6 linked regions of the Macaca mulatta genome follow. The main gene of each other region encodes a partner of the protein of the gene in region 6 in a complex. Links are inferred from orthologs where the notes say so. Each region holds a gene or a part of one and is shown on either strand. Other genes may lie near its edges. The genes, in order: EXOSC2, EXOSC6, EXOSC3, EXOSC4, EXOSC5 and EXOSC9.

The links.
Region 1: EXOSC9 (region 6) and EXOSC2 share a complex: the UniProt entries of both Homo sapiens proteins name them as parts of the RNA exosome core complex. The link is inferred for Macaca mulatta from reciprocal best matches to the Homo sapiens genes EXOSC9 and EXOSC2.
Region 2: EXOSC9 (region 6) and EXOSC6 share a complex: the UniProt entries of both Homo sapiens proteins name them as parts of the RNA exosome core complex. The link is inferred for Macaca mulatta from reciprocal best matches to the Homo sapiens genes EXOSC9 and EXOSC6.
Region 3: EXOSC9 (region 6) and EXOSC3 share a complex: the UniProt entries of both Homo sapiens proteins name them as parts of the RNA exosome core complex. The link is inferred for Macaca mulatta from reciprocal best matches to the Homo sapiens genes EXOSC9 and EXOSC3.
Region 4: EXOSC9 (region 6) and EXOSC4 share a complex: the UniProt entries of both Homo sapiens proteins name them as parts of the RNA exosome core complex. The link is inferred for Macaca mulatta from reciprocal best matches to the Homo sapiens genes EXOSC9 and EXOSC4.
Region 5: EXOSC9 (region 6) and EXOSC5 share a complex: the UniProt entries of both Homo sapiens proteins name them as parts of the RNA exosome core complex. The link is inferred for Macaca mulatta from reciprocal best matches to the Homo sapiens genes EXOSC9 and EXOSC5.

Annotation. Positions count from the first base shown.
Region 1 is NC_133420.1:16,883,824-16,888,147, reverse strand, and holds part of EXOSC2 (exosome complex component RRP4), read left to right. Parts: intron 1-1,749; coding exon 1,750-1,795; intron 1,796-2,331; coding exon 2,332-2,421; intron 2,422-3,463; coding exon 3,464-3,529; intron 3,530-4,324. UniProt on the Homo sapiens protein: Non-catalytic component of the RNA exosome complex which has 3'->5' exoribonuclease activity and participates in a multitude of cellular RNA processing and degradation events.
Region 2 is NC_133425.1:69,618,334-69,623,335, reverse strand, and holds the start of EXOSC6 (exosome complex component MTR3), read right to left. Parts: upstream 2,982-5,002; 5' UTR 2,182-2,981; coding exon 1,363-2,181; 3' UTR 1-1,362. Other genes in the region: AARS1 (alanine--tRNA ligase, cytoplasmic), read right to left, coding at 3,013-3,198, 3,541-3,654, 3,987-4,073, 4,194-4,313, 4,906-5,002. UniProt on the Homo sapiens protein: Non-catalytic component of the RNA exosome complex which has 3'->5' exoribonuclease activity and participates in a multitude of cellular RNA processing and degradation events.
Region 3 is NC_133420.1:61,811,945-61,816,884, reverse strand, and holds the start of EXOSC3 (exosome complex component RRP40), read right to left. Parts: upstream 3,022-4,940; 5' UTR 3,014-3,021; coding exon 2,690-3,013; intron 2,126-2,689; exon of another isoform or gene 1,959-2,125; coding exon 1,809-1,958; intron 1,735-1,808; exon of another isoform or gene 1,413-1,734; intron 234-1,412; exon of another isoform or gene 39-233; intron 1-38. UniProt on the Homo sapiens protein: Non-catalytic component of the RNA exosome complex which has 3'->5' exoribonuclease activity and participates in a multitude of cellular RNA processing and degradation events.
Region 4 is NC_133413.1:154,461,105-154,465,649, reverse strand, and holds EXOSC4 (exosome complex component RRP41), read right to left. Parts: upstream 3,174-4,545; 5' UTR 3,055-3,173; coding exon 2,884-3,054; intron 1,849-2,883; coding exon 1,642-1,848; intron 1,551-1,641; coding exon 1,191-1,550; 3' UTR 1,149-1,190; downstream 1-1,148. UniProt on the Homo sapiens protein: Non-catalytic component of the RNA exosome complex which has 3'->5' exoribonuclease activity and participates in a multitude of cellular RNA processing and degradation events.
Region 5 is NC_133424.1:52,540,849-52,545,906, forward strand, and holds the start of EXOSC5 (exosome complex component RRP46), read right to left. Parts: upstream 3,114-5,058; 5' UTR 3,049-3,113; coding exon 2,901-3,048; intron 1-2,900. Other genes in the region: BCKDHA (2-oxoisovalerate dehydrogenase subunit alpha, mitochondrial), read left to right, coding at 3,546-3,653. UniProt on the Homo sapiens protein: Non-catalytic component of the RNA exosome complex which has 3'->5' exoribonuclease activity and participates in a multitude of cellular RNA processing and degradation events.
Region 6 is NC_133410.1:130,630,994-130,634,846, forward strand, and holds the end of EXOSC9 (exosome complex component RRP45), read left to right. Parts: coding exon 1-104; intron 105-2,448; coding exon 2,449-2,527; intron 2,528-2,538; exon of another isoform or gene 2,539-2,839; coding exon 2,840-2,924; 3' UTR 2,925-2,979; downstream 2,980-3,853. UniProt on the Homo sapiens protein: Non-catalytic component of the RNA exosome complex which has 3'->5' exoribonuclease activity and participates in a multitude of cellular RNA processing and degradation events.

The sequences.
Region 1 (4,324 bases), on a different chromosome or scaffold from region 6:
AGTATAATAGCATGGCCTACTTCACAGGATTTTCTTTTTTTTTTTTGAGACGGAGTCTCGCTCTGTTGCCCAGGCTGGAGTACAGTGGCACAGTCTGCACGCTGCAACCTCTGCCTCCCGGGTTCAAACGATTCTCCTGCCTCAGCCTCCCAAGTAGCTGGGATTACAGGCACTCGCCACCACGCCTGGCTAATTTTTTTATACTTTTAGTAGAGACAGGGTTTTACCACGTTGGCCAGGCGGGTCTCGAACTGCTGACTTCAGAAGATTTCCCCCCCACTTGGCCTCCCAAAGTGCTGGGATTACAGATGTGAGCCACTGCGGCTGGCCTAGGATTTTCTTTAGAATTCAGTGAGATGGTGCATGTAAAGTATTTAGCACAGGGCCTGATACCTAGAAGCATTCAATGAAGATTAGCCCCAGAAAGCAAGCCAGTGAGGTTAGAACAGAGTGAGTGAGGGAGAGAGTAGGGGCAGATATGAGCAGAAAGCTGAGGTGGGCAGACATAGGCCTGCCTTGTAGCCAGAGTAAGCATTTCGGCTTCTACTTTGTGTAATCTGGGAAGCCCCTGGAAGGGGTGGAGCAGAGGAGGGACTTGATCTGGACTTAAGCTCACTGTGGCTGCCGATGGGAGATTGAAGGGGGATAGAGCAAGCTTAGGGAGGTGGATTAGGGACCATACTCATAATCTGAAGTGATGGTGGCTTCGACTAAGGTGGTAGCAGTGGAAGGTGGAGGAGTGATTGGGATCCACATAGATTTTATTTTCTGAGTGTTTTTTTTGAAATCATGAAAAGGTGTTGGGTTTTGTATTCTTTGGACTTTACTGTACATAGGACCCAGTCAACTGTGAATAGAAATAATTTTACTTCTTCCTTTCCAATTTGGATGCCTTTTATTTCCTGCATATGTTTTAAGGGTAGAGCCAGCAGGATTTGCTACTGGACTTGTCCTGAAGTGTGTGAGAGAGAGAGAGGAATCAAAGAACTCTCCAAGGTTTATTGGCCTGAGCAACTGGGGATGGAGTCACCATTGACTGAGATGGGGATAACTCATCCCCTACCTCGGTTTGCTACGGAGGACTGGAGGGGGCTGTGGGAAAGCTTAGTTTTGGGCGCGATACATTTGAAAATGCCTATTAGTCATCTAAATGGCAGAGTTGGGTAGCTGGCAGTTGAGAAGGATTTGGAATTCAGGAGAGTGGCACAGTGACAGCACAGAGTGGTATTTTAATGGTATTAGATTGAGTGGCCGAAAAGCGAAGAGGTCTAAGGACTTGGCCTCAGCACCGAGTACGTCTCATTAGAATTGTGGATGAGGAGCTAGCAAAGGGGCTTGAGAGGAGCAGGCAGTGAGTGAGTGGGAGAGACATGAGCAGACTCATGCGGTTGGCGTCTGGCTCAGATTTCCTTTCTCTTCCTTTGGCTGGTGCAGAACTCATCCGTGTGCCACAGGAAAATAGTCCATGTTTTTCAGTGTCATGTAATTGAACAAAATAGGGGGTTTTTTTTGGCTAAATGAACTACTTGAATAGCGATTTGTTTGAGGTTAATGGAGACTTTATACATGGAGGAATGTTTGAAGTTAGCAATTTCTGAAAATAAGTCCAGACAATATAGTTACATGAATTTGCTGAATGTGACGCCTATTCAAGGCTTTCACTCTGTTAAACCAACATCTCAAATGGTGTGTGGTCTTGTCAGAAAGTCTGCTCACAGATGCACGAATCCCTTGTGTTTTATCTTTCAGATACATTGGTGAAGTAGGAGACATTGTAGTGGGAAGAATCACAGAGGTAACGTCGATATCAGATTGGTGTTTACAAAGTCGAGGCAGGCTGGCGATTGTATTCATGGGACAGTCATTCCACTTGTAGTTACATGAAAAAGGCATTCGTTGCATTTGGCTATTGTGTGGCCTCTGATGTAAATATGTGGCTTGTTCGATTTGGGATTACTGGTTACTTTCTTTTTCTTTTTTTGAGATGGAGTCTCGCTCTGTTGCCCAGGCTGGAGTGCAGTGGCGCGATCTTGGCTCGTTACAACCTCCGCCTCCAGGGTTCAAACGATTCTCCTGTCTCAGCCTCCTAAGTAGCTGGGATTATAGGCACCTGCTACCACGCCCGGCTAATTTTTGTATTTTTAGTAGAGACGGGGTTTCATCATATTGGTCAGGCTGGTCTCAAACTCCTGACCTTAAGTGAGCCACCACCTCGGCCTCCCAAAGTACTGGGATTACAGGCGTGAACCACCGCACCCAGCCTTACTGGTTACTTATGATGTGAACTCCTGTCCCTGGAGCATGTGTCCAGGTGTGGAACTTGGCTTATAGGTTCAACAGAAGAGGTGGAAGGTGGAGACCAACTCCAGGCTGGATTCGGTCTTGCTGCTCTCGTCCATGAACCTTCCTGGAGGAGAGCTGGTAAGGGCTACAGCTGGGGCCATGGACTGGAGCCCAGTGGGCTGGGGGGAGCTGTGGGACCCTTTGTTCCACCAGAGGACTTTGCTTTACACTGAGGTTACCCCTTTGACTCCCGTTTGTCTGCTGTGAAGTTTGCTGTCTGGATGTGTATGTAGACTTTTCACCCTGTCCAGGTCTCCCGAAAGAGGGAGCAGTTGGCATACGGTAGGATCAGAAACATCCATGGGGTGGGATCCCAACAGAGAGTTGGGGAGAGAAGCTCTTAGATGCTGCTTGTTAATAGCTTTCCTTTTCTGGACGTATCAGCTTTGCACAGTGAAGATGTTCCTTGGAAAGCTGTCTTTACGTTAGTTTTTTGTGAATTGAAAGGCATTTGGTTATTCCAGACAACCACAGTAACTAAGCCACAGCCTTTTGTAAAATACCATGGTTCACCTTTATCTTCAGTCCAGCATGTATTTACAGAGAGGCTTACTGTGCCAAGCTCTGTGCCAAGTGCCAAGCACGACTGAGTTCCCCAGCAGGGGATATAAGATAACTGACCCAGTATCTGGCAGTAGAAGAATAAATAAGCTGTGGTTATACAAAAGGAGTGGTTCATTCCAGTGAGAGAAGCTCGTAGGAAAGACAGGATGGAGAGACTTTAAATAACTAGTTCAGGGAATCTGAGATAAAGGGAAATGTGTGAGCAGAGATATATCCAAGCAGGAGTTAGTCTGGTCCTGCTGGACCACAGAGAGCTGTCATGGAAGATGAGTGTGGAAATGTTGGCTGGGTGAGATTGGGAGGGGTTGGAATGCTCCTCAGGGAAGGGAGGGAAAGAGGAAGAGAAGAGGACTATGGAAAAGTCTCTTGCGATGGAAAGTCGTGATTATCACTCATTCCCCTCAAGTGGCTCGGGTTACCTACTTTTGCCATAGTTCTCAGTGTTTGAGTATTGTGGTTGGCCTCAAAAATCTCAAAAGGAAGTGAAAGAGAAAGAAGTGATGGAGACCTTTCTGAGGACCTGGCTTCAGTAATGTCATTTCTTTGTGTATTTCAGAGGAGAAGATCTGCAGAAGATGAGCTTGCAATGAGAGGTTTCTTACAGGAAGGGGACCTTATCAGTGTATCCTGTGCTTTGCACTGCAGCCTCTTCATGCTTTTCTGTGGGGCTGGGAAATGGGCCTTCCATTGTATGTCTCTGACGGAAGAACCGTTAGACCAGGTGTCGGGCTCTGCTGTGTCCTTTCTCGGTCTCCTTAACTCAGGCTGACTCCCCAGCTCTTGTTCAGACCTGCTGCTAAGTCATTTCTTTGGGTCTTGTAACTTATGGTAGCCTGTGCTTGAGGCTTTTGTTAATGATGTTAACTTTTAGCCCAGGGAGTGGAAGAGGTGTTGTTCACATCAAGATATTAATGACAGGCCGAGTGTGGTGGCTCATGCCTGTAATCCCAGCGCTTTGGAAGGCCAAGGAGGGAGGATTGCTTGAGCCTAAGAGTTCAAGACCAGCCTGGGCAACATAGCAAGACCCCCTCTCTACAAAAAAATAAAAATAAAAAATTAGCCGGGCATGGCGGCACATGCCTAGCTACTCAGGAGGCTGCGGCTGGAGGGTTGCTTGAGCCCAGGAGCTCAAGGCTACAGTGAGCTCTGATCACACCACTGCATTCCAGCCTGGGTGACAGTGCACGACTCTGTCTCTATTTTATGTTATTTAAAAAAAATTTTTTTTTTTAAGACGGAGTCTTGCTCTGTTGTCCAGACTGGAGTGCAGTGGCATGATCTCAGCTCACTGCAACCTCCGCCTCCCGGATTCAAGCAATTCTGCTTTAGCCTCCCGAGTAGCTGGGATTACAGGTGTGTGCCATGCCCTGGTAATTTTTGTATTTTTAGTAGGGACGGGGTTTCACCATATTGGCCA
Region 2 (5,002 bases), on a different chromosome or scaffold from region 6:
GCCGGCCCTTCCTAGAGAAGCTGAGTGCAGAGAGGGGACCAGGCCGCCTTCCAAATGGCAGTCACCTAGCTTCCTACCATGCAGTCTTGAGCCCAAACCAGCAGAGCTGGTAGCGACACAGGAAAGACCCCACCTCGTGGTGAGTCAGTCAGGTTGTACCTGGCCTTCCTAGCAGTGCACCTGCCCTCTGCGGTGCTGCTCAGGGTCTTCCTTGTAGGACCAGGGTGCCACTTCTCATCAGCCGTGGAGGCTCGGGTTGTGCCATTCTGCACATGGCCAAGGACAGATGGCTTCTACCCAGAGCAAAACCCTTTTCAGCTACCCAGCACCAAGCCAGGTTGGGGCACGAGGTGCACTCAGCGCACTTCTGGGGCCGTACTTTTTTTCCTGAGACGGAGTCTTGCTCTTGTTGCCCAGGCTGGAGTGCAATGGTGCGATCTCCACTCACCGCAACCTCCACCTCCCGGGTTCAAGCGATTCTCCTGCCTCAGCCTCCCGAGTAGCTAAGATTACAGGCATATGCCACCATTATTAGTGCTGGCTAATTTTGTATTTTTAGTAGAGACGGGGTTTCTCCATGTTGGTCAGGCTGATCTCGAACTTCCGACCTCAGGTGATCTCCCTGCCTTGGCCTCCCAAAGTGCTGGGATTACAGGTGTGAGCCGCCGCGCCCGGCCAACTCTCCCTACTCTCGTCGTATCTCAGCAGTTCCCCTAACTCTGGTTCGTGTGGGTGCAGCTGCTCTCCAAATCACAGCGCTCCCATCAGGCTCTGGAGCTCTTTTCAGCCCGTCTCTCCTGTTCACGTGGGCCTAAGGAACAGAACCCGTTTAAGGCAATGCCGCCGCGACCCTTGACACCTGGGATGCAAGAACAAAAGAGCCTTGCTCTCTTAAATCCCGGACCAAGAAGAACCACACCATAAGACGTTTTTCAAATATAAAAGGGTCTTTCTTTTGGCTCAGACACAGAAGGCACAGTCGTCTTGTCCATCCTCTGAAAAGTCGCCCAGTTATATCGGAGGGGGTCACTGGCTGGCCTGAATGACAGCAGCTCTAGGTACCAGCTTCCAGGTAAGTCCAGCTAAAGTTTCCAACTTGGGAGTCAGGATGCGCTCACAGGTTTCCTCAACTGGGTCGAAGCTAAGAGCCGGCTCAAGTAAAGTTCCTTTAACGAGGTTTGTAAAAACCCTTTCCAACACCACAGCTGTCCGGCGCCTTGGCTCTGCTAGGGCCTACCCAGGTGCTCTCCAGGGCTCCGGCTGCTTATCTCGACGCAGGCTGGAGGCCGACGGCGCGGGTCTTTTCGGGGACGGCGGCAGCACGGTCCTCGGCTTGCGTCCGTCGTTGCTCAGGCTTCTAGTTCAGGGCTGGGCGGCGGCGCCCCTGCGGCGCGCCGCCCGCACCAGGCTCTGCTGCAGCACGGGGTAGAGGCGCTGGCAGCCCTCGAGGCCCAGGCGTACGGCCTCCGCCCAGCTCTCGATCAGGCCGCCCTCGCCGCTGCCCAGCAGCCCGGCCACCTGATTCAGCACAGGCATGAGCGCCACGGTGAGGCCGGCGGCGGCGCGCTCTTCCTCTAGCCGCGTGGGGTCCAGCAGCCAAGTGGGCGCGGGCCCCGGCGCGAGGCTCAGGCCACAGCCCACCACCAGATCGTACATCTCAACGCCCGCGTCGGCCAGGGCGAGCGCGGCGGCGGTGAGCGCGGCGGCCAGGGCCGAGCCGCCGTCCTCCAGCAGCAACGCCGACACCTCGAGTTGCGCGCGCGGGTAGCGGCCCAGGCGCACGGCCGGCTCCAGTGCCTCCTGCAGCGCCAGCGCCAGCTCACGCTCCTCGCCGCCGCCCGGGGGAGCGCGGCGCCGGCGGCCCGCGAAGGGCGCGCGGCGGAAGTCGCACAGCAGGCGACCGCGCAGCGCGGCCGGGGCTTCGCCGCCAGATCCGGCCGGGCCGCCGCCGCGCTCGCCTCCCTCGGCCTGTCGCGGGCCCGACACTGCACACAGCACCTTTGTGCCTCCCGCCTCCAGGTAGGCCGAGCCTTTGGCCTGGCTCAGCAGCCCGGCGCGCGCATACACGGGCCGCAGTCGCGTTGGGTCGCGGGCGGCGGGCGCCTCCTCCTCGTCGGCCGCGTACAGCTGCGGCGGCTGCGACTCTTCAGGGCCGCGGATGCGGCGGTGGTCCCCGGGCATGGCGGCTCCTGGCGTGAGAGCCGCTTCCGCCCAACGCACTGCCGCACCCACTGGTTCTTCCGTTGCTTAAAGACGCGCGCCTGCGTGAGGGTTGTCGGGAGAGTGACGGGCGGCGCTACAGCGCCTGCTGGAGGCTCGGAGGGAGAACGGCCGGCGTCCCTGGCGCCCTGGTCCCACTTGTGCAGGGCTGCCTGATCCATCCCTCCTGCTGGAAGGGAGCGGGAGAGCAGCTCCAAGGCTTCTCTGCTTCCACTAACCCCACCCATCTACTGAATTATGAACGCCTTGCTCCATGTCACCCTATTTGGCCTCAACCTCCACAAACGTTTGAGGCAACCCCAGGGGCTTTTCCCAAAATTTAGGGTTCTGGGGCTGGACTAGGTGAACACTACAGCAGCCAGTATAAGCCACAGCATTTATTCTACAGACAGCAGGGGCCAAGGGCTGTCAAAACAGCGAGCTCCACCTGGGAAGAGGGATAGAGATCATATAGCATTAAGTATTGCACGTGGTCCTTTTATTCTCTGCAGCAAAAAACGATTCGTCCTTGCTGACGCGGAAAGCTCAGGCTGGAAAGCTGTTATCTACAGATGCGAGTGTGGTGATCAACAGCAATGCGGGGGTAGTGGTTCTCGACAGATGGCACTGACGTGGAGGGCTCAGGGCAGAAGTATAAGGGGCGCTGAGTCACAGGACTGCTCGTGAGGGTATTCCAGGTACAGCCGGGGTAGGAGGGGCTCTCAAAAGGTCCCAGGATTCAAATGTTCTTGTAGCAGATCAAGAGCTCCCGGCTGGACGGATGGAGCCAGTAGAAGCCACCTCCTCCCCCGCTCAGTTCTTTACATCCCCGAGGCGCAGCTGGGCGAAGGAAGTGGCCAGCTGCAGCGCCTCCTGCAGGCAGCCAATGTTTTTGCCTGTGGCCTGTGCAGACACATCCTTGCCCCCACCTTTACCGTCCATCAGGCCTGACACCTGCTGTACCCACTCGCTGGCTTTTAAGCCCCGATTGGCTGCATTCTAGAAGAAAGAAAGGGAAGGGGGAAGTCAGGACAGAAAATGGGATTGAGGGAGGAGCCATCACCCACTCCTTTGCCCTGGGTGATACTGCTGGAGGCAGAGACAGACTTTACGGCTAGTGCAGGGGGCAGTCATGGCCCCTGCCAGGACAGGACAGAGTGGCAAAGCCAAGTATCAACCAGACAGATGCAACCAGTGAGGAGGCCTGGGTAAGAGGTACTGGCAAAGGTGACCAACAGGCAGGCAGGAGACAGGCTCTTTTAAATGCAGGTTGTACACACACAGGCCTCAGCAAACAAGCTTAAGACCCAACACTTCCCACTGGTGCAAGGTGGTTCTGACCTGAGGGACTTGACACAGGCAAGTGATCTTGCCAGCCTCGTTGTCCACTGTGAAGAGCATGGCAGACGTCTGAGGGGAGTGTGTCTTGAAGAGCTTCAAGGCTTCATTCAGGGCCTGTGGGGAGGACCTGGCTCAGACCATGGTGCTGGAGCAGGGACCCTCACTAGTGTGAGCAGTTGCAGCCCTCAGAAGGACCGCCACCCACCCCCACCCCTTCCCAGAGCAGATGTAGTCCTCAGGGCCTGGGTGGAGGACCCCAGTGTAGGGCCCTGCCCACACCCTGGCCCAGGTGTGCCTCCCACATGCAGGGAGCTGCTGCTCCTCCCAACCTTAATCCCAGACAGTGGGCCCTTAGGCAACCACTTGGCTCAGAGCCACAGAGGTCACATATCAGCCACCAAAGGGCTGATGTGCCCCAGGGGAGGGGGCCCCGGCCCCTGGGTTGCCTTGGCTGAGGCACCGCTCTCCATCTCCAGGATGACGAGGGGCTGGTTGGGGTTGCTGTCGATAAGCTGCTTTGTCTTCTCTAACACCTGCAAGAAAAAAGTCCAGAAGAGCAGCTCAGACCAAAAGCACAAGCCGCAAACCCCTGGCTGTATCCTGCCGGCCTTTGCCTAGGAAACACTCTGGCCACCGGTGCTGCCCGGACTCACTCGTTTCTGGACATCGGCTTTGCTGGCTCGGTCTAGGTCATCCATGACCTTCTTTAGGGATTTGAGAGTCTCCCGCAATTCGTCCTTCTGCCACTGGGGGATGACTGCAGTGGCCAGGGCCTGGAACGAGAACCAGAAGACCATCTGAATCTGGGCCACAACTTGCTGGGATGTCAGGGTCAAGCCCACCCCACCTGAACCCAAGTCCTCCCTGACTAGTGTCCTGGAAAGGAAAGCAAAAACACAAAGCTGTCTTCTGGCTTTGAGACCAGTCCCTTCTGGAGCAGCTGCGGCAGGTAAAACAAGGAGGGCTAGAGAGAAAGGAACAGTAGAAAGCTGGGCTCCAAGTCAGGCCTAGTCCTTACCAGGCTGGGAACAGCCTGTGATGAGCTTCCTGGCAGCTTAAAATGCAAATAAATGCCAGGCAGGCTTGGAAGCAGGGGGCAGCCTTTTCCCCTTCTCCAAATCCCTCCACCCCAGTGCCCACACATGCTTGGGAAGAGCTCTCCTGCTAGCAGCAATGGGGGCAGCAGGGAACCTCCAGGGTCCAAGGCCAGGATCGATGGGGTCCCTGCTACAAGGCTACAGGACAACAGAAGTCAGCCCAAAGGCCCATTCCACCAAGAACCAGGGACTGACTGACTATAGATTTACTGAAGCCAGGGCATGTCTCATGCGTCAGGCCCTGAGGAGGGAGGGAAGCCACCCCTACCTCTCCAAGGTCAGCGATCTCCCTCTGCACATCCTTGTTTGGAGCAGTCTGGGCCTTCACTTTGGCTTCCATGACAGAGAGAGATTTCTTCAAGCTC
Region 3 (4,940 bases), on a different chromosome or scaffold from region 6:
ACTACTCTACAGGTGCTGCTATTGGTTCTTTCTCACAGGCATCAATGCCAGCCACCTACAGTTCTGTGGCTAAGGGACTGACTGTACTACAGGATTCCCACAGTCACTTTGAAGTTGAGTCTTGGGGAAAAAAAGGAACACATGTATCATTCCCTTTCACCAACCAGGAAATCACAGACAAGGAGCCCATCTCAAGGCCAGAGAACACCTCTAGGATTGCACTGTCCAATATGGTAGGTAGCCAATTGTTTAAACTTATATTTAAATTAATTAAAATTAGATATTTAAAATTAATTTCCTGAGTTGCATTAGCCACATTTCAAGTGCTCAACAGCTATTTAAATTAAAATTAGATATTTAAAATTAATTTCCTGAGTTGCATTAGCCACATTTCAAGTGCTCAACTGCTACCATACTAATCAGTGCAGATACAAAACAGCATCACTGTAGAAAGTTATGTTAGGTGGCACTACCCTAGAGAATTACAATTTACAGAGAGGAACTCCGGCATGCAAATTATTCAAAGCAAAACAAAACAATAATTCACTGACACTTCTCCCTGCAAGATTTACTTAAAAACCTCATAGAGCTAAACCTTAAAGGGATGAAACTGAGGAAATGGAGAGTGAACTCAATTCTGTTCACTCAAAACATATTAAGTACCCACTGTTTGTTGGTGACTATGTAAACTAGAGAGGAACAAAACATTCTCTGCTTTTCAGAAGCATTTGGTCTTGGAGGGCAGTGGGGAGGTACATATAAACAAACCTCAGTCGAGGCTAAATCCATTAAGTGCTAGAGCAAAAATATGAGAAAAGTCACAACTGGGGATGGCTTTACAAAGGCGGTCGTGTTTAGCCTAGGTCTCAAAGGATGAGAATGTGTTCCACAGGCTGCGAAGGGATAGTGCAATCAAGACAGAGGGAACAGCATGTGTAAAGGAATAAGGGCAGGAAATTGAGTCTAATGGCGTTTGGTGTGATTAGAGTATGGCTGTATGAAGGATATAATTAGGGATGAGGAAAGACACCTGGAGTGTAATGCCAAGGAATTCTGTGGATTTTGGAGAATCTCGTTTTTCCTTTTCGAGAAAGTAACTGTGTTAGGATGTCAGCTCTCAAAACCCTGGATGGTGAGGTAAAAGCGTGGAGGCAAGGATTAATGAAGAAGTGACTGAGACCAGTCAAGACGGAGCTAAAGCCTGAACTTGCAAAGTGGAGATAAAGGGATAGACATGCCAAAAATCAGAGACAGAATCAAATAAGATTAAGCAAATAAATCTGCATGAGAAGTAAATGTGAAGAGGCAAAGACATCACTAGATTTCGGGCTGGATAGACAAGAAGCGTGTGGCTATGCTACCTGAAAAGCCCAACCTGAAAACCCAAGGTAACAGTATTACTCCTCTATCAGCTTCTAGGACCTACAGCCAGGATGGATGGATAGCTGATAATGTCAATTTGCACCACCTGTCACTCCTCTAAGCCTACAGCAGACATCCTTGTCCCGAGGATATGGACATAACAAATAATGGTGATGACAGATACAACCTTTCAACTCAGTAGAAATGAAACATCCCAAGAACAAATGTAGCCAATGTAAAATAAATTGTAAATGTTAAAAAAAAAAAAAAAATTATGTGGCTCTGATCCTGCAGCATCTGAAGAAACTCTTGGAGCCTGGGGCAATTATATACATGCTCAAAGATCTAGGTCATACTTCGGAGACAATTCAGGTAGCCTTCTGGATATCTGAGTGTTCTAGAGAAGGGATGTTTCTTACTTTGAAGCCAAAGGCTCCCATAATTACCTGCACATTTGGTCTGTTTCTTTTAGTTGCACCTTCAAATGACAAGTAAGACAAAGAAGCTGGCTCACTCCCTCCAACATCAACTTTGAATATATCTCCAGATTTAGCTGTCACTATGCCAATCACATGGTCTCCTTTCACTGGAACATACTACAAAAGGAAATAGAATGAGAAAACAGCCATAAATGAGAAGATACCATTGGAAGATACCTTCAGCACGTCCTTCGTGGTTACTTTATTGTCATTAAAGAGAAAGAAATCTGATCATATGCCACTTTCGGTAAAAGAAAATCACATCATAAAGTGTCAGGTGTGCAGCTTCTGGTAGTCTGTTAATTGAGTCCAAACCCCATTATCTCTTCAGCACCCCAACCAGTAAGTTCCTAGCTTTGTGGCATAAGTTCAGTGGCAAAGGAATCCTTACAACCAAGGAAGCCCATTCCATAGTTAGACAATTTTTTTCCGTATGAAAGAAAATTATACAGAAAAATTATACAGAAAAATTTTTCTGTATAAAAATTTTCTTACCTGTTCTAGGAGAAATTAACTCCCTATGACATCCACTCATTGAGCCTGGTCTTGCCCTCTGAGACTTGAATGGGCAAGCCTGCTGCTCCCTGACGTTTGGAGTTTTGAAGACTTTATAATCATGACTCACGGTCTCCAAACGTTTTTCTCTCCTGGTCGCCCTTCTCAGGCTATGTTCCTATTGTTCACGGTCCCTCTAAAGGACATGCAGAAGTGGGCACAAGACTACGGTGGCTCTAGGTTTGCCTGAACAAGAGGGCCTCAGGATCTCATCCCTTTTTCTTTTGGGAGGTCTTCTCAAACCAGGGCTATCACTCTCACGGCCGCACCACCCCTCCGCAGTCCCAGCTCACCCGCTTCTGCTGAGAGTCCACCCAGTAAACACCGCCGCCGCTGCCACTGCCGGGCTCCTTGTGACGGAGGCGGCCGCACTTGGTGACCAGCAGGCGGTCCCCACAGCGCCGCAAGCCCGGGCCGCATACAACGCGCACCCGCGAGCGCGCTCCAGCATTCAGGCTCAACGGTCGCTCCCCAGCACCGCCAGGGCCTTCCGCGTCCTCCTGTTCCGGCAGGAGCAGCTCCTCACCCGGCAGCACCACCTGACCTAGTACTGTGCGTGCAGCGCGCGCCCTGCTGCCCGCGAGATATTCAGCCGCAACAGACACAGGTTCGGCCATCGCGTGCGCCACCAAACACCGTTTCCGGTACTCTCCTTCCGCTTCCGCTCTGCTTCCAACACCCGCCCTTGAGGACTTTCCGTTTCCGGCAGTAGCGGTCCGTTAGATTTGGACCAGTTTATAAGCAGCTTAATGGCTGTCAGCTCACGGGTCCTTGTCCAAGGTGGCTGTGATTGTGTCTGTAGCCGACCACCTGTCTTACAGCCTGGCCGCGGGTCGGTATGAGAACTGCGCAGCTTGATCCATCAAGAAGCCTCCACTTTCAGTGTCTCGGGTCCCGTGTTTTGTGACCGGTCGCATCGTGGGGATACGAGATGCTCCCACTTAGAGTTTCCTGGGATCTCTGGAAGCTGAGCAGAGGGGCTTTGAAAACTGGACGCTGGGGCCGGGTGCAGTGGCTCACGCCTGTAATCCCAGCAGTTTGGGAGGCCAAGGCGGGTGGATCATTTGAGGTCAGGAGTTCAAGACCAGCCTGGCCACCATGGTGAAACCCTGTCTCTACTAAAAATACAAAAATTAGTCGGGCGTGATGGCATGCACCTGTAATCCCAGCTACTCGGGAGGCTGAGGCAGGAGATCACTTGAACCTAGGAGGCGGAGGTTGCAGTGAGCCGAGATGGCGCCACTGCACTCCAGTATGGAAGACAGAGCGAGACTCTGTTAAACAAACAAAAAAAAAAAAAACAAAAAAAACAAACAAAAGGAAATCGGACGCTAGGTGGGCTTCTGGACCCTTCTTTCCGACTCTGCCCTCAGAAGAGTGGCTCACCTTTTAACAGGGAAAGTATATTTTTTCAAAATAAATAAAACCTTCTTGGTTGTTAGAGATCTAGTCACATTTAGAAAACACAGACAAAAATAAAATAAGGAAATAAATGATGTTTTATTCTTACCCGTTTTTCTCCCTTGCTACGTGGTAGTTCTGATTCTTTAGAGCCCAAGGTGTGGCATGAAATAGGTAATGCCTGATGAATGAACGAATGTATTCCTTTGGTGTGTATTTCTCCCTAGACTTTTTCCTCCTGCAAATATACATATTTCACATGCTTGCGATAGTCCTGCATGGCCTGGAATATAAGTAACTCAAATTTCCCTGGAGCACACTTAGTTGCCCAGGTGAGAAGCAGTTGAATTCCAAATCCATAGAGCTTCCAATCATCTGACTTTTGAGGTTCTTATTTGAAATCACCGTTTCCTCTGTCAACTGGAACCTTCAATTAGTGCTTGATCAGATTCTCCAGCAGTGGTAGAGTTCCCAGGGTCTGGGAGGCCATGACTGACTGATGGCCTTTAACTGCCCTCCCTTTCTGCTGCTCACCTCTTTGAGGCACCTGCTTCCAATGTTATATATATAAAAAATATATGAAATATATAACATATAAATATATAACATATAAATATATATAATATATAAATATATTTTTTTAGACAGAGTCTTGCTCTGTCACCCAGGCTGGACTGCAGTGGCACCATCTCAGCTGACTGCAACCTCTGCCTCCCAGGTTCAAGCGATTCTCCTACCTCAGGCTCCCGAGTAGCTAGGATTACAGGAGTGCACCACCACACCTGGCTAATTTTTGTATTTTTAGTAGAGACAGCGCTTCACCATGCTGGCCAGGCTGGTCTTGAACGCCTGACCTCAAGTGATCGGCCCACTTTGGCCTCCCAAAGTACTGGGATTACAGGCATCAGCAACCATGCCCAGCCAAATTTTTAGATTTTTCAGGATGATTAAGACAGATCATTTTTAACACACCCTCCAAATTTGGCAAACTATTTTCCCCTGGGTATAATAAAAGGCCAACAATATATATAAACAATATAAGCTATTTTATATAGCTATATAATAGCTATATAAATATTTTTATAGCTATATATTTTATATATAATGTAAAATATTATATAAAATATATATTATATAAAATAT
Region 4 (4,545 bases), on a different chromosome or scaffold from region 6:
CTAGGAGATTGAGACTGCAGTGAGCCGTGATCACACCACTGCACTCCAGCCTGAGCACAGAGCAAGACTATGTCTCAACAAATAAATAGTGGTGGGCAGAGAGAAGGGTCAAAACTGAAGACTCCATGTGAGAACAATTTTTTTTTTTTTTTTTTTTGAGACAGAGTCTTGCTGTCATCCAGGCTGGAGTGCAGTGGTGCTATCTTGGCTAACTGTGACCTTCATCTCTGGTTCAAGTGATTCTCCTGCCCCAGCCTCCCTAGTAGCTGGGACTACAAGTACCTGCCACCACACTAATTTTTGTATTAGTAGAGATGGGGTTTCACCATGTTGGCCAGGCTGGTCTCGAACTCCTGACCTCAAGTGATCCATGAGAACAGGTAATTTTTGTACTTTTATTTTTTTTAGATGGAGTCTTGCTCTGTCGCCCAGGCTGCAGTGCAGTGGCACGATCTCGGCTCACTGCAACCTCCGCCTCCCCGGTTCAAGAGATTCTCCTGCCTCAGCCTCCTGAGTAACTCAGATTACAGGCATGTGCCACCACCCCCAGCTAATTTTGTATTTTTCGTAGAGACGGGGTTTCACCATGTTGGCCAGGATGGTCTCAAATTCCTGACCTGAAGCAATCCGCCTACCTCAGCCTCTCAAAGTTCTGGGATTACAGGTGTGAGCCACCATGCCTGGCTGTTGTATTTTTTAGAGCCCAAGGTAAGCAGCAGGAAAAGCCCAAGGGGCTCCAGGCCATAGTCCAGAGGCCATGGGACATGGCCCCCACATCTCTAGGTTGGGTACTCAGAGCCAGCTGAGTTCTCCCTCAGCCCTTTGCTCAGGGCCCTGGATGTGCCAGAGTAAGGGTAACAGATTCCTCAGTCCAATGACCTGGCTCATCTTGCCAGGCCCTGCCTCCTGCTCAGCTGCCTTGAGTCCTTACTGGGACATGTTGCTTTTTCCACCCAGGACCTCCCCCACAGCAACCCCCTAATCCACTGTTCTCTTCAGGGTTTGAATTAGGCTACACAGAGATAGGCAGTTCATGTGTGGGCGAGGGGCCCTGGTCATCCCCAGGAGCCAGCACCAGACCAGGCTCTGCCAGGCTTCACATGGCTCTGAAGTGCTGTTGGGTGATTAACGTACAGTGAGGGTTGTGTGGGCAGAGGAGGGTTTTATTCTGGACATGGGTGGCTGGGTGGTCAGTCCCCCAGCAAGATAGAGGCCTCACGCACATGCTGCCTGACCACTCTGTCCAAGAGGGTGTGCACATCTCGAGCAGCCTGGGCAGCAGCCTCCAACACCCGCTCCAGGTGGTCCTCGTGCAGCCGGGCATCCATCTCAAGCAGCGCAATCTGTCCTGAGGCTGGCAGCAGGGCCAGGGCCAGCTGGGGGCCACCAGCTGCCTCCTCCACATGGCTGAGGTCCGCCAGGGCTGTGCCGTCCACAAAGCCAGCTGAGCACGCACACACAAAGTCTCTCATGGGTATCCCAGCATCCAGCACTGCCAGTGTGGCTGCATTCACACAAGCTGCATAGGTCCCACCATCTGCCTGTAGCACCTGCAGGGACCCCAGGGTGTGAGTCTATCAGACTCTCTCCCCAACCCCATCACACCCACCCCTCCCTGGATTGACGCTGCAGCCGGCTCACCTGCACATAGATATCAATCTGGGAACGTGGGTGCAGCTGTGTGAGGATGGCTGCCTCGAAAGTCTGGCGGAGCTGCAGGCCCATCTCACAGGACTTCCGGTCCCCATGTGGCCGTCGCTTGCGCTCACCTGTGCTGAAGGTCGCTGAACTATATTGACAGTTCACTAGGGCCCTGTCCGGCAGGGCTCGAGCCCGGGAACCCCGGATCTGGAAGAGGACGGACACATGAGCCAGGCCCACTCCTTCCAGCTCACACGCCACTGTCCTCTGTGGGTCTGCCTCTCCCTCCACTTTCAATGCCTCAGCAAGGGGCAACTACATTACCTCCAAAACAAAGCCCCCTGTTTTGCACTCTCTGTCTTGCATGTGTTGCCCTCTGGCATCTTTTAATTGGCTTCCTTGTGCCCATCCTTGCCCCATTCCCTGCCAACCCAAGTTTACAAACATCAAGGCTGATTCTGTCTCACCTTCACACTCAAATCCTAATTACCTTACAAAGGTTTCACATTACATATGATATAAAATCCCAAATCATTTCCCTGGTCTACAAAACCCTAATTCCTCACCTCCCCGGGAACTCTCAACCTTATTTAGAGTTATCCCCTCTTTCCCCACCAGCAGTCTTTCTGTTATGCATAAGTGCCTTGCTTGTTTTCACCACCGTGGTCTTCGCCCTCCTGGTTCCCTCCGCCTGGAAAGCAGAGCTCCTACCCTCATGCGCTAAACAAACACTCTTTCAATACCTTCACTGGCCAGGCACAGTTACAGCGCTGGAAACACAGCAATGAAACCAGAGAGTTTTATGTAGTTTCTGTCCTTAGGAAGCTTATGTTCTAGCGAGGAAACGGGAAAATGCTTAAGCAAAATAGGCATTTGAGATTGTAGATGCACAAAAGACAAGGGTTTATTGTAGGGAGAGAAGTACCGCATGGATAAAGCCGTCTGGGAAGGAGTGACGTCGGAGTAGAGCTGAGAGGAGAGGGAGCGAGTGGGGGAGTGCCTGGCACGTTGAAGAGCCGCAAAGAGGAGGGAGAGCGCAGGCACAGAGACCGATGAGAAAGGCAGGACCACCGCGCAGCACACTAAAGACTTGCATTTACTCCGAGTGAGATGCAGTGCTGAGCATCGGCTGTGTAGACTGAGGCGCGCCGGCCGCACCTCTCAAGTCCCCGAACCTGTGCTCAGCCCGGCTGCCCCGCAGATCCCGCGGTCACGCGATTCCCATCCCGCACGCCCACTCGCCTCGTGCGGGCCGTAGACCACCGCCAGCGCCTTGGTGTTGCCCTGCTCGATGTAGGCCGAGCCGTCAGCCTGCGCGAACACGCCCATCCGAGCCTGGATCTTGCGCAGCTCCCCGGCGCGCCGACCGTCCACCCGGTAGCCCTGGTCCGACAAGAGCTCCAGCCCCGCCATGCTGCCCGGCCGCCAGCTCCGCTCTCTGCCTAGTTCTCTGATTCGCGGGAGAACTACAGCGCCCTGCGGCTCCGACCTCCCCGAATCTACGGTTTCCGGCGGTCCGCTATCACTTCCGGTTCCGGGGAGCTACAGCTCCCCGCGGTCCCGACCTCCCTGGATCTACGGTTTCCGGCGGTCCGCTGTCACTTCCGGTCCCGGGGAACTGGAGTTCCTCGCGGCACCGACCTCCCTGGATCTACGGTTTCTGGCGGTTCGGCTTCACTTCTGTCTCCGGGGAACTGCGGTGGCGCTGTCGGGGAAGCAGCGGTTGAGCCCGCAGCCGTTCCCGGAGCTGTGCCACGGGTGCCAGGAGGTGGGCGCCCGCCGAAGGAGAAATTCCCGTCACGCCCTCGGGACCAGTGGTGCCCACATTCAGCCCTTCCCCGCGCCCCAAGTGTGGAAGTGGAAGGATGAACCCAGTGGGTTGCGACACTGACAGGAGAAGGCATTGAGCGGTCCTAGAAAAGTGACCAGGCTGGTGTCCGAGGATGGTCCACACCTGGCACCTCTCCAGTCCTCTCATGCCCTCCCTTTACACCGAGCTTCCACACTGCAGTCGAGTGGGCCTCCCTTTTCCTTTTGAGGTTGCAGATTTCCTCATCCTTTCCAGAGAGGGGTTGTGTGTCTGTTTATCTCTTGCCACTTAACCTCAGCGGCTTCAAATAGCAATCATTCTATTATTATATCCTGCAGTCTTGGGTTATCTAGGCTCAGCTAGGTAGTTTGCACGTAGGCTCTCTCCTACAGTTGCTGCCAGATGGTGGCTGGGGCTGGAGCCATCCTAAAGCTTTCTCTTTCACATCTTTGGTGGCTGATGCTGGTGGCTGGCCAGGACCTCATCTGTGGCTGTCAGGCAGCACACCTACCTGTGGCTTCTCCATGCTTCCTTGCAATATGGCAGCTGGGTTCCAAGGGTAGCCTTCCAGGACAATGAGATGGACAACATGTGCATGATATTTTTAGAACCTAGCCTCAGAAGTCACATAGTGTCCCTCCTGCCAGACTCTGTGGGTCAAGGCAGTCAGACACATCTACCCAGGCTTAAGGGATGGGGACAGGGACCCCACCCTTCAGTGGGAGGAGTGTCAATATTAGACTGTAGGAACAGCAGGTGGGCTGGGGAAATGCAGTCTGCTGCAGGGGCCCAAGTTCAGCATCCCCTTAGAGGTGGTTATGCTCTCCTGAAAGACTGAGAGGCATGAGAATGAGTGAGCAAGCCACAGCCCTGCTGCTGCAGCTGGTATGAGGCCATGATAGGCCACTATCCTCTGCCACTGGCCACCACCGATTCCCCACCCTTGGCTCTGCAGCCAGACACTGCGTACTGTGGAGCAGCCCAGGCCCTTCTCCCCTTGCAGTCTGAGCTCTTCCTGTCCCTGTTCTTACTGGGTCATTTTGTTTGTTTGTTTTGTTTTTTTGAGATGGAGTCTCACTCTGTCACCCAGGCTG
Region 5 (5,058 bases), on a different chromosome or scaffold from region 6:
ACTCGGGAGGCCGAGGCAGAATTGCTGGAACCGGGGAGGCGGAGGTTGCAGTGAGCCGAGATGGCACCATTCCACTCCAGCCTGGACAATAACAGCGAGACTCCGTCTCAAAAAAAAAAAAAAAAAAAAAAAAAAACCCAAAACATTTGAGGCCAGACATGGTGCCTCACACCTGTAATCCCAGCACTCTGGAGGCCCAGGTGGGAGGACTGCTCGAGGCCAGGAGTTTGAGACCTGCCTGAGCAACATAGCAAGACTCCTGTCTCTATTTTCTTTTTTGAGACAAAGTTTCCCTCTGTCACCCAGGAGGCTGGAGTGCAGTTGTGCAATCTCAGCTCACTGCAACCTCCGCCTCCCAGGCTCAAGTGATTCTCGTGCCTCAGCCTCCAGAGTAGCTGAGATTATAGGTGCGTGCCACCTTGTCCGACTAATTTTTGTATTTTTAGTAGAGACGGGTTTTCACCATGTTGGCCAGGCTGGTCTCAGAACTCCTGACCTCGACTGGGCGAGGTGGCTCACGCCTGTAATCCCAGCAATTTGGGAGGCCGAGGCGGGTGGATCACGAGGTCAGGAGTTCAAGATCAGTCTGGCCAACATGGTGAAACCCCGTCTCTACTAAAAACTACAAAAATTAGCTGGGCGTGGGAGCACACGCCTGTGGTCCTGGCTACTCGGGAGGCTGAGGCAGAAGAATCGCTGGAACCTGGGAGGTGGAGGTTGCAGTGAGCCACGATCGCTTCACTGCACTCTAGCCTGGGTGACAGGGCGAGACTCTGTGTCAAAAAAAAAAAAAGAATTACTGACCTCAGGTGATCTACCCTCATCGGCCTCCCAAGGTGCTTGGATTACCGGTGTGAGCAACCCATGTGAGCAACTGCGCCCGGCCCCTTCTTAATTCTTAGGTTCGAAGAAACTTGAGGTATCTCAATTCAGCATAAGTGCTAAGCCTGAGGGAGGGTCCGGGAAGGTCCCTGGTTAAGGCGGTATTTCCTGGGATGCCCAATTTGCCCTTACACGGAAGGTGTGCTTAGTTCCAGGAAAAACTGCCCTGAGGACTGGAGAAACCAAAATAGAACTCGCCTCTGGCTCCAGATGAACTGCCTGTGTTTCGCCTGAGCACAAGAGTCCCTCCCCTCTCACCTTCTTCAAGACGTGGCTCCAGCAATTCTCTCCCCTGTTGACCCCACAACCATCTTCAATTCCTGCCCCACTTATCTGATCCTCTTACAGCAAAACTCCTGAACAGCTGTCTATTCTTCCTTTCCTGTGACCCCACCACTCCACTGCGGCAGCTCAACATCGTCACCACTGACCTCCAAATGATCAACCCTCCATTGACCCGGCTGTCAGTAAGGCCGAAACAGCTGTCAGCCCTCACATCTCAGACACGCTCTTCTCTTGGCCCCAGGTCACCACCCTCTCCCGGTTTCCCCCTAAGTCTCTGGGCGTTCCTTCTGAGTCTCCTTTAGCTTGCTTGTCACAAGTCCCTGACTGCTCAAGTTGGAAGGCCTAGGGCTTGGTCCTGGGACCTCTTTTCCATCTACACTGACTTCGTTCAGTCAATAGGCTGAAATACCATATATACAGCCAGAGAGTTCCAAATTGCCTATGTCCAGCTTGGGTCTCTCTCCTGATTTCCAGACTTGTACAGATCTGGGCAGAAACCTTAGTTATGCCTGACTCTTTTTCCTCGCACTCAAACCAAACTATAGGTAAGTTTTGTCCGTTTTACTTTCAAACTACATCCAGAATCTCATCACCTCCACTACTCCTGTTCTGGCTGGAGCCACCATCACCTCCCTGTTTTCCCCCATACTCCCCACAATCAACACAGCAGCCAGATTTTGTTAAAATGTATTGGGGCTGGGCGTGGTGGCTGGTACCTATATGAGCACTTTGGGAGGAGGACTGCTTGAGTCCAGGAGTTCAAGACCAACCTGGGCAACATCGTGAGACCCTGTCTCAAAATTTTTTTTTTTTTTTTGAGACATTATCTTGTTTTGTCGTGCACACTGGAGTACAATGGCACAATCTTGGCTCACTGCAACTTCTGCCTCCTGGGTTCAAGAGATTCTCCTGCCTCAGCCTCCCCAGTAGCTGGGATTACAGGCGCCCACCACCATGCCTGGCTAATTTTTGTACTTTTAGTAGAGTCGGGGTTTCGCCATGTTGGCCAGGCTGGTCTCGAACTCCTGACCTCAGGTGATCCACCCGCCTTGGCCTCCCAAAGTGTGGGGATTACAGGCGTGAGCCACTGTGCCCAGCCTCCTGTCTCAAACGTTAAAGAGAAATATTCTTGGAGTTAATCTGGTTCTGAGAGTTATTTAGCTAGGGGAAGGGGATATTTGCCCTATAGGTAAGACTTGCCCTAATCTTAGGGATATTTACTCCTGTGGAGAGATGCAGTGAGGTAGCGGTGGGGATGTATTTTTCAACCCAGGGCAGTGACATTATCTTCAATTTGAGGAGTATTTACGTGGGTGAAAGATCCGCCACAGTCCAGAGTATGCAAATTGACAGGTTTGCGTCAGTCCGGGATGCAAGGACCTAGCGGGCGTGTGTGTGGGGCGGGCGGGGGCGGGGGTGAGGAGGAGGAACCTAGTTAAGGGCGATATTTACCCTGGTGAGGTGATTTTCCCTATTCTGAAATATCAATTCTTGCGGGGACGGTCTGCCCCGCCTGTCATTCTCAGACATATTTACAAAGATGGAGCTATCTTCTCCTTTCTAGTCGTGAGGGAGAGATGTATGTATCCCTGCGTATGTAGTAGTATTCAATCGGACAAGAAATCATGTATCAACGCAGGAGTGACATTTACCAGCTGGTATCATGGGGAGATGGGCACTCCGTTGCACGGTACATGGTAGTCCCTCTCCAAAAGACCTGGGTAAGTTCTTACCTTGCAGGAAGGAAGCAGAGCCATCTGGCCGCGACAGCAGGTTCTGTTCGCAGGCAAAGTGCCGGAGGCTGCAGCCGGGACCCCGAGGGCTGCACCCTGTTCCAATTTCAGCGCGGATTTTGGCGTCAGTATGCATCTCCTCCTCCATCGCGCCGACCCCACGTGCGGCTGCGATTATCACTTCCGCCCGGCAGCGCGCGCTGCGAACACTCTGCGTAACCATTGCGCACGCGCTGGGCTCGGCCGTCAGTCCTGGCGTCCGCACGTGGCTTAGCGTTTACCAACAATCTGGCTCCGCCCAGTCCCACCTCCTAACTCTGGCAACGCCATTGGACAGTTGAGAACAGGAGGCAGGCCTTGGCAGTGACCTGTTTTACTCTGGGCCCCCGGGCCCTAAATCCCTGAGGCCGTGGTCAGGTTGCCCTCTTCTTTGCCTGTTACAGGAGTAACTACAATGAGGCGACTGGGGAAAATTTTGGGTAGATAGGTTTTCTTCTCCAAATCTCTGTGCATTCTATCTACAACAGAATGGGAAGAAGGTGATTTTCTTGTCAGATGGTGCTGGAGTTTGTGTCAGGCACATAAAGGGGCAGCCCCGAATCTAGCCTACGTGAGTGCCCTACCGCTGAGTGGTTGCTAGCCAAGATGGCGGTAGCGATCGCTGCGGCGAGGGTCTGGCGGCCAAACCGAGGCCTGAGCCAGGCTGCCCTCTTGCTGCTGTGGCGGCCTGGGGCTCGGGGACTGGCTAGATCTGTGAGTACCTGGGCCCCAGGGGGTTTTCCCAAAGGGGATTAGGGATGTAAAGGCTATCTTCAGAGTGTGGGGTCCCTGAAGGATATGAAGGAAGGGCTGTCACAGAAGGGAAAAAGAGTGGGAGACCCCTTGGAGAAGACACCGAAGGGAAGATCTGCCACTTCCTTAGAAGAAAAGAACTTCCACTTCTTCAGGAGAGGACAAAACCCGTTTGCAACTTCTTTGTGGGCCCTGAGGAAGGGAGACGACTTGAAGAGAGGGATGGGAGTTCCTTATTTATTTATTTAGTTAGTTTTTGAGGCGGAGTCTGGAGTGCAGTGGCCGGATCTCAGCTCACTGCAAGCTCTGCCTCCCGGATTCACGCCGTTCTCCTGCCTCAGCCTCCCGAGTAGCTGGGACTACAGGCGCCCGCCGCCACCCCCGGCTAATTTTTTTTTTTTGCATTTTTAGTAGAGACGGGGTTTCACTGTGTTAGCCAGGATGGTCTCGATCTCCTGACCTCGTGATCCGCCCACCTCGGCCTCCCAAAGTGCTGGAATTACAGGCGTGAGCCAGCGCGCCCGGCCGGGGGTTCCTTATTAACTGCCACTCGTATTCAGGGGAGGTTCCTTGGAGGGACAGGGGAAGACCGCGAGACCTTTTCCCTCAGGCTTTGGAGAATGAAACTGACTTTATAAAGGAGAGACTTTCTTCTGGGCAAAGATCCCTCTTCAAGAAGAAGAAAGAAGAGAGCAAGTCCCCTTATCGCAGGCTGCATAGGGCCTTGTATTTCTTTGCTCCTTTGCCACAATTCTGATTTTAAAATGAATTGTGTAAAAATTTTGTTTGGTTCCTGTGTCTCCTGATCGAATATCAAGACAGGGAACTCGTGTGTTCTGGACACTGTACAGAGGAGATGATTAATATTTGTTGAGTTAATGAGGGGAAAAACGGAGGGACAGAGGTACAGATAGGGCACTTTGCCCACATTTCTTAGAAACACTTGAGAAGGCTTTGTTTCTTGTCAAAAGGGTCACAATCCCTTCAGGTGGATGCTGTCAAAATTACACTGCAAAAAACCTGGGTGGAAGCCTCTCTTTAGAGGGGGAGAGGCAAGGGGTTGCAGAAGAGCTTTGAACTACATTTGACAGATAGGAGAGTAGTGGTTACATGGGTGGGTTCATGTCCTTGCTCTGCCACTTTCCACTTGTGTATTGGGCAACGGACTGCACCTCTCTGGATCTATGGACCTAATTTCCCTCTCTAAAATATTAACAGTGGCCACCTCATAGGACTGTGAAAAATTAATATGTAAAATGCTAAGGACTGGACCTGGCACATCATAAGGGCAATAGGAATGTTGGTCATTGTTGATAGTGAGGGTAGAGGGAAAGGACAGAAACTGACGTTGGAGATGGGGAGAAGA
Region 6 (3,853 bases):
AGACTCTGAGAAGGAAGATGATGAAGGCGGTGGTGATGAAGCTATCATTCTTGATAGTATAAAAATGGACACTGGAGTAGAAGTCTCTGATATTGGAAGCCAAGGTAGGTGACACTTTATGGCACACTTATTACTATATATTACATATATGTAGTATTTTGTATATACAATAATGCATAAAATGTGTATATTTATATTATCACTATATATAGTAATATATAGCATATCAGCTATATAGAGATGTATACTAGATAAATAACATACAGGATACTATATAGAGAGAATATAGATATATAAATATAGGGATATAAGTATTGCATTTTTAGAGGGGCTAAATATTGTGATTTAAATTTCAACTAAATTATTGTGGCTAACTGCAGTACTAACACGACTTGCTAAAAGAATATGCATATCTTTGTAGAGTAGTGGTACACTTTGGCATAAAATGATAGTGACATTTTTAATTAAAAAAAATTTTTTTTTGTAATGTATTTGGGTGGGTTTTAAGGGAATGAGTTTCTGGAAGATCTTATTCCTCCGTGCTGTCTTTTTTTGTGGTTTCTAGACTGAAACAAAAAGCCCATCCTTTATCGGAACATGTAATACTGTCTAAATAAAACTTTCTGGGATAGAAACATTACACTGGTATAGCAGCCACTAGCCCCACGTGGCTACTGAACACTTGAAATGTGGTTTGTATTACTGAGAACTGAATTTTTAATTTTATTTAATACAAAATTAAGCAGCCACATGTAGCTAGTGGCTACCATACTAGACATTGCAGTATTAGAACATAAAAAAATTCTAGAAATGACTAGAATACTGATAGTCCTAGACGTTGCTTGCATTTTGAAAGCCATAGAACTGAAGAAGTTGTTTTTGTGTATGGTTATTTTTACTTAAAAAAAAAAAAAAAGCAAATTCTTGCTGGTCTAGATAATAGAATAATGACTTATTTTCTTATGTGGTAAGAACAGAAATCCTACAAGGAACTGGGAACTAGGCTGGCAGGGAAAACTGAAGGTGATATGTTTAGTAGGAATGTAAAACAAATACTTCTGTTTTCAAAGAGAGAAATTATGAACACTACTAGAGCCTGAGCTTTTTGTTTTTTTACTTAATAGGGAAGGAAAAAATTTCCCATTGATTGGGACCCTTACTCATATTTCCCAGTGGTTACTTCTATTTGGTATAATTCTTCCAAATACTTGTCCCAGGTATTTATTTACTCTCTGTGCAGTGATATAAGCTAATGCTGCATAGACTTATGTAGCATTGAATATAACTAGTTGGTTTAACAATTCTCTTATTGTTGAAGATGTAAGTTGTTTCCATTTTTTCACTGTTAACAATATCCTTGCACTTGCATATACCTTATATGTTTGTTTAGTGTATTCTTCTAACAGTGAATAGTATTTTCAATTGAATATAATGAAGGTGGACCTAAGAATTGGAAAAATGGAGCAGGTACAGCCTTTCTAAAGCATGTGAAGAAAGGGAGAAACTAACTGAAAACTAAAAATACAAAGAATTGATATGGGTTAATTCACGTTTTATGTATATCATTAACTAATGATCAGGAGAAAAATAGGCAAAAGACAGGGAGCAGTACTCAAAATATACAAATGGCCAGTAATATTTTTCATGGTCAGCCCTGATAGTAATACAAATAAAATCCAAAGAAAAATGACATGGCATTTTTTGTTACTGTATTTTGGGCAGTATTAAAAATACCAGCAATGCCAAAGGTATATGGGAAATGGGTTTTTATTTATTGGAATGTAAACTGGAACTATTTCTGGAGGAATAGAGTAGCACAAACAATTCAATTGTCTCTACAAAAGATGATATATAGATTTCCCCCTAACTTTTCTATTATGACATGTACCAAATTGTCACGCCATTCGAGCACTTGCAGGAAATAAGAGTTTAAAGAAACAAATGTTACAGACAAGTTCTAGAGTGCTCTAAGAAGCTGATTTAAAGAGAAGAGTAAGCCTCCACCTAAAGAGTGGCATGGGCTGTTATATGCAAATAGTCTTATTTTTATTTATTTTTTAGGATGGAGTCTTCCTCTGTCACCCAGACTGGAGTACAGTGGTACTGCAACCTCAACCTCCCTGGTTCAAGCGATTCTCATGCCTCAGCCTCACGAGTAGCTGGGCCTATAAGCACATGCCACCACAACTGGCTAATTTTTCTGTTTTTAATAGAGATGGTGTTTCACCATGTTGGCCAGGCTGGACTCGAGCTCCTGACCTCAGGTGACCAAAATGACCTCAGCCTACTAAAATGCGGGGATTAAAAGTGTGAGCTACCACGCCCAGCCCAACCCCAGCCCCAGCAGTAAGAGTTTTAGAACGTCTGATAGAAATAAACTTGTGCAGAAGTAAATATTGCAAGAGATTGCTTACCCTTTTTTTTTTTTTTTTTTTAAAAAAAAAAAAGATGCTCCCATAATACTGTCAGATAGTGAAGAAGAAGAAATGATCATTTTGGAACCAGACAAGAATCCAAAGAAAATAAGGTAACACGTTTCTGGTTTATTTCAAATGTATATATATATATATTCAACACTTCTAGAGGTTTGCTCTCTGGTTTTACTCTCATCTTGCCACACGACTATAAACAAAAAGACGTCCCTTTTTCATTAGCGATCCATCTGTTCTGTGATTTCTTTACCTTGTGATTTATAAAAATTAGGACCAAAATCTATAGAACTCTTTGGATGCCAGTCTTACACATTTTATATCCTATTGGAAAACTAAGAAATGCCTCTTATTTCAATAATCCAAAACTTAACAAGCATACGCTTAGTAAATTCTTACTTTATTAACAGAACACAGACCACCAGTGCAAAACAAGAAAAAGCACCAAGTAAAAAGCCAGTGAAAAGAAGAAAAAAGAAGAGAGCTGCCAATTAAAGCTAACAGTTGTATATTTGTATATATAACTATTAAAAGGATATTTATTCCATTCTAAGAACCCTGGGTATTTTTTATTCACAAATCCATTATAAAATCTAGCAGGGTTTTAAAAATAGTTTTTTGTTTTTAATGTTATGCTTTAAAATAATAAACCTTCTGGAGCATTTCTCGTCTGTTAATTTGCACGTAAGCTTCCCACCCTCTTCCGCTCCCAGCCTCTGTTTAGTTTGCAGAACCTAAACAGGTTTTACAAAGAGTGAAAAAGTCTGTATTCAGATATGCTTAGATTATGCCCATCAGCAAATTGATCCAGTTGCTTAGGAAAATGAATGTTAGAATTTGAGGGTCTGTTTTCCTAAACCTACTTTAATTTTAGAGGAAGGTTTTCACTTCTCATTATATAGTAAACCAAGTAAACTTTTTTAATTGAAATCCTGAAGAAGTTAAATTTGACTTGCGAAGTTTTCCAAATCAATTTATTATCCTGACAGCTGGCATCATTAATACTTTAACAAAACCACTTAAAATTAGCCAAATATCTAAGACAGATACATATACAAAAGATATACAAATTAAAACCATTTAAAAAGTAATAGATACCATAATTTGTACTTGGCCATAACTTCTGTATTCAGAAATGATTGTAAAATTAAAACCTAAGTTAAAAACTGTACACCATATACTTTGAGTGATTTACATCTTAGAAAACAAAGGCAGTCTTTCATTGTTACAGATTTAGTGTCTCTGGTGGGTTGAGGAGAGAAACACCATGATACCTGTAAGTAGGAAAAAAAAAAACAAAAACATTTTTAGTAAACAGTCACTGGGTAAAGGAGATCATGGAATAATGTTTGTACTCATGTATTGGGAACTAAAAAATGCTATTTCTCTCTGACCGAGTTGATGGTGTTAGAAACATTGGTCCC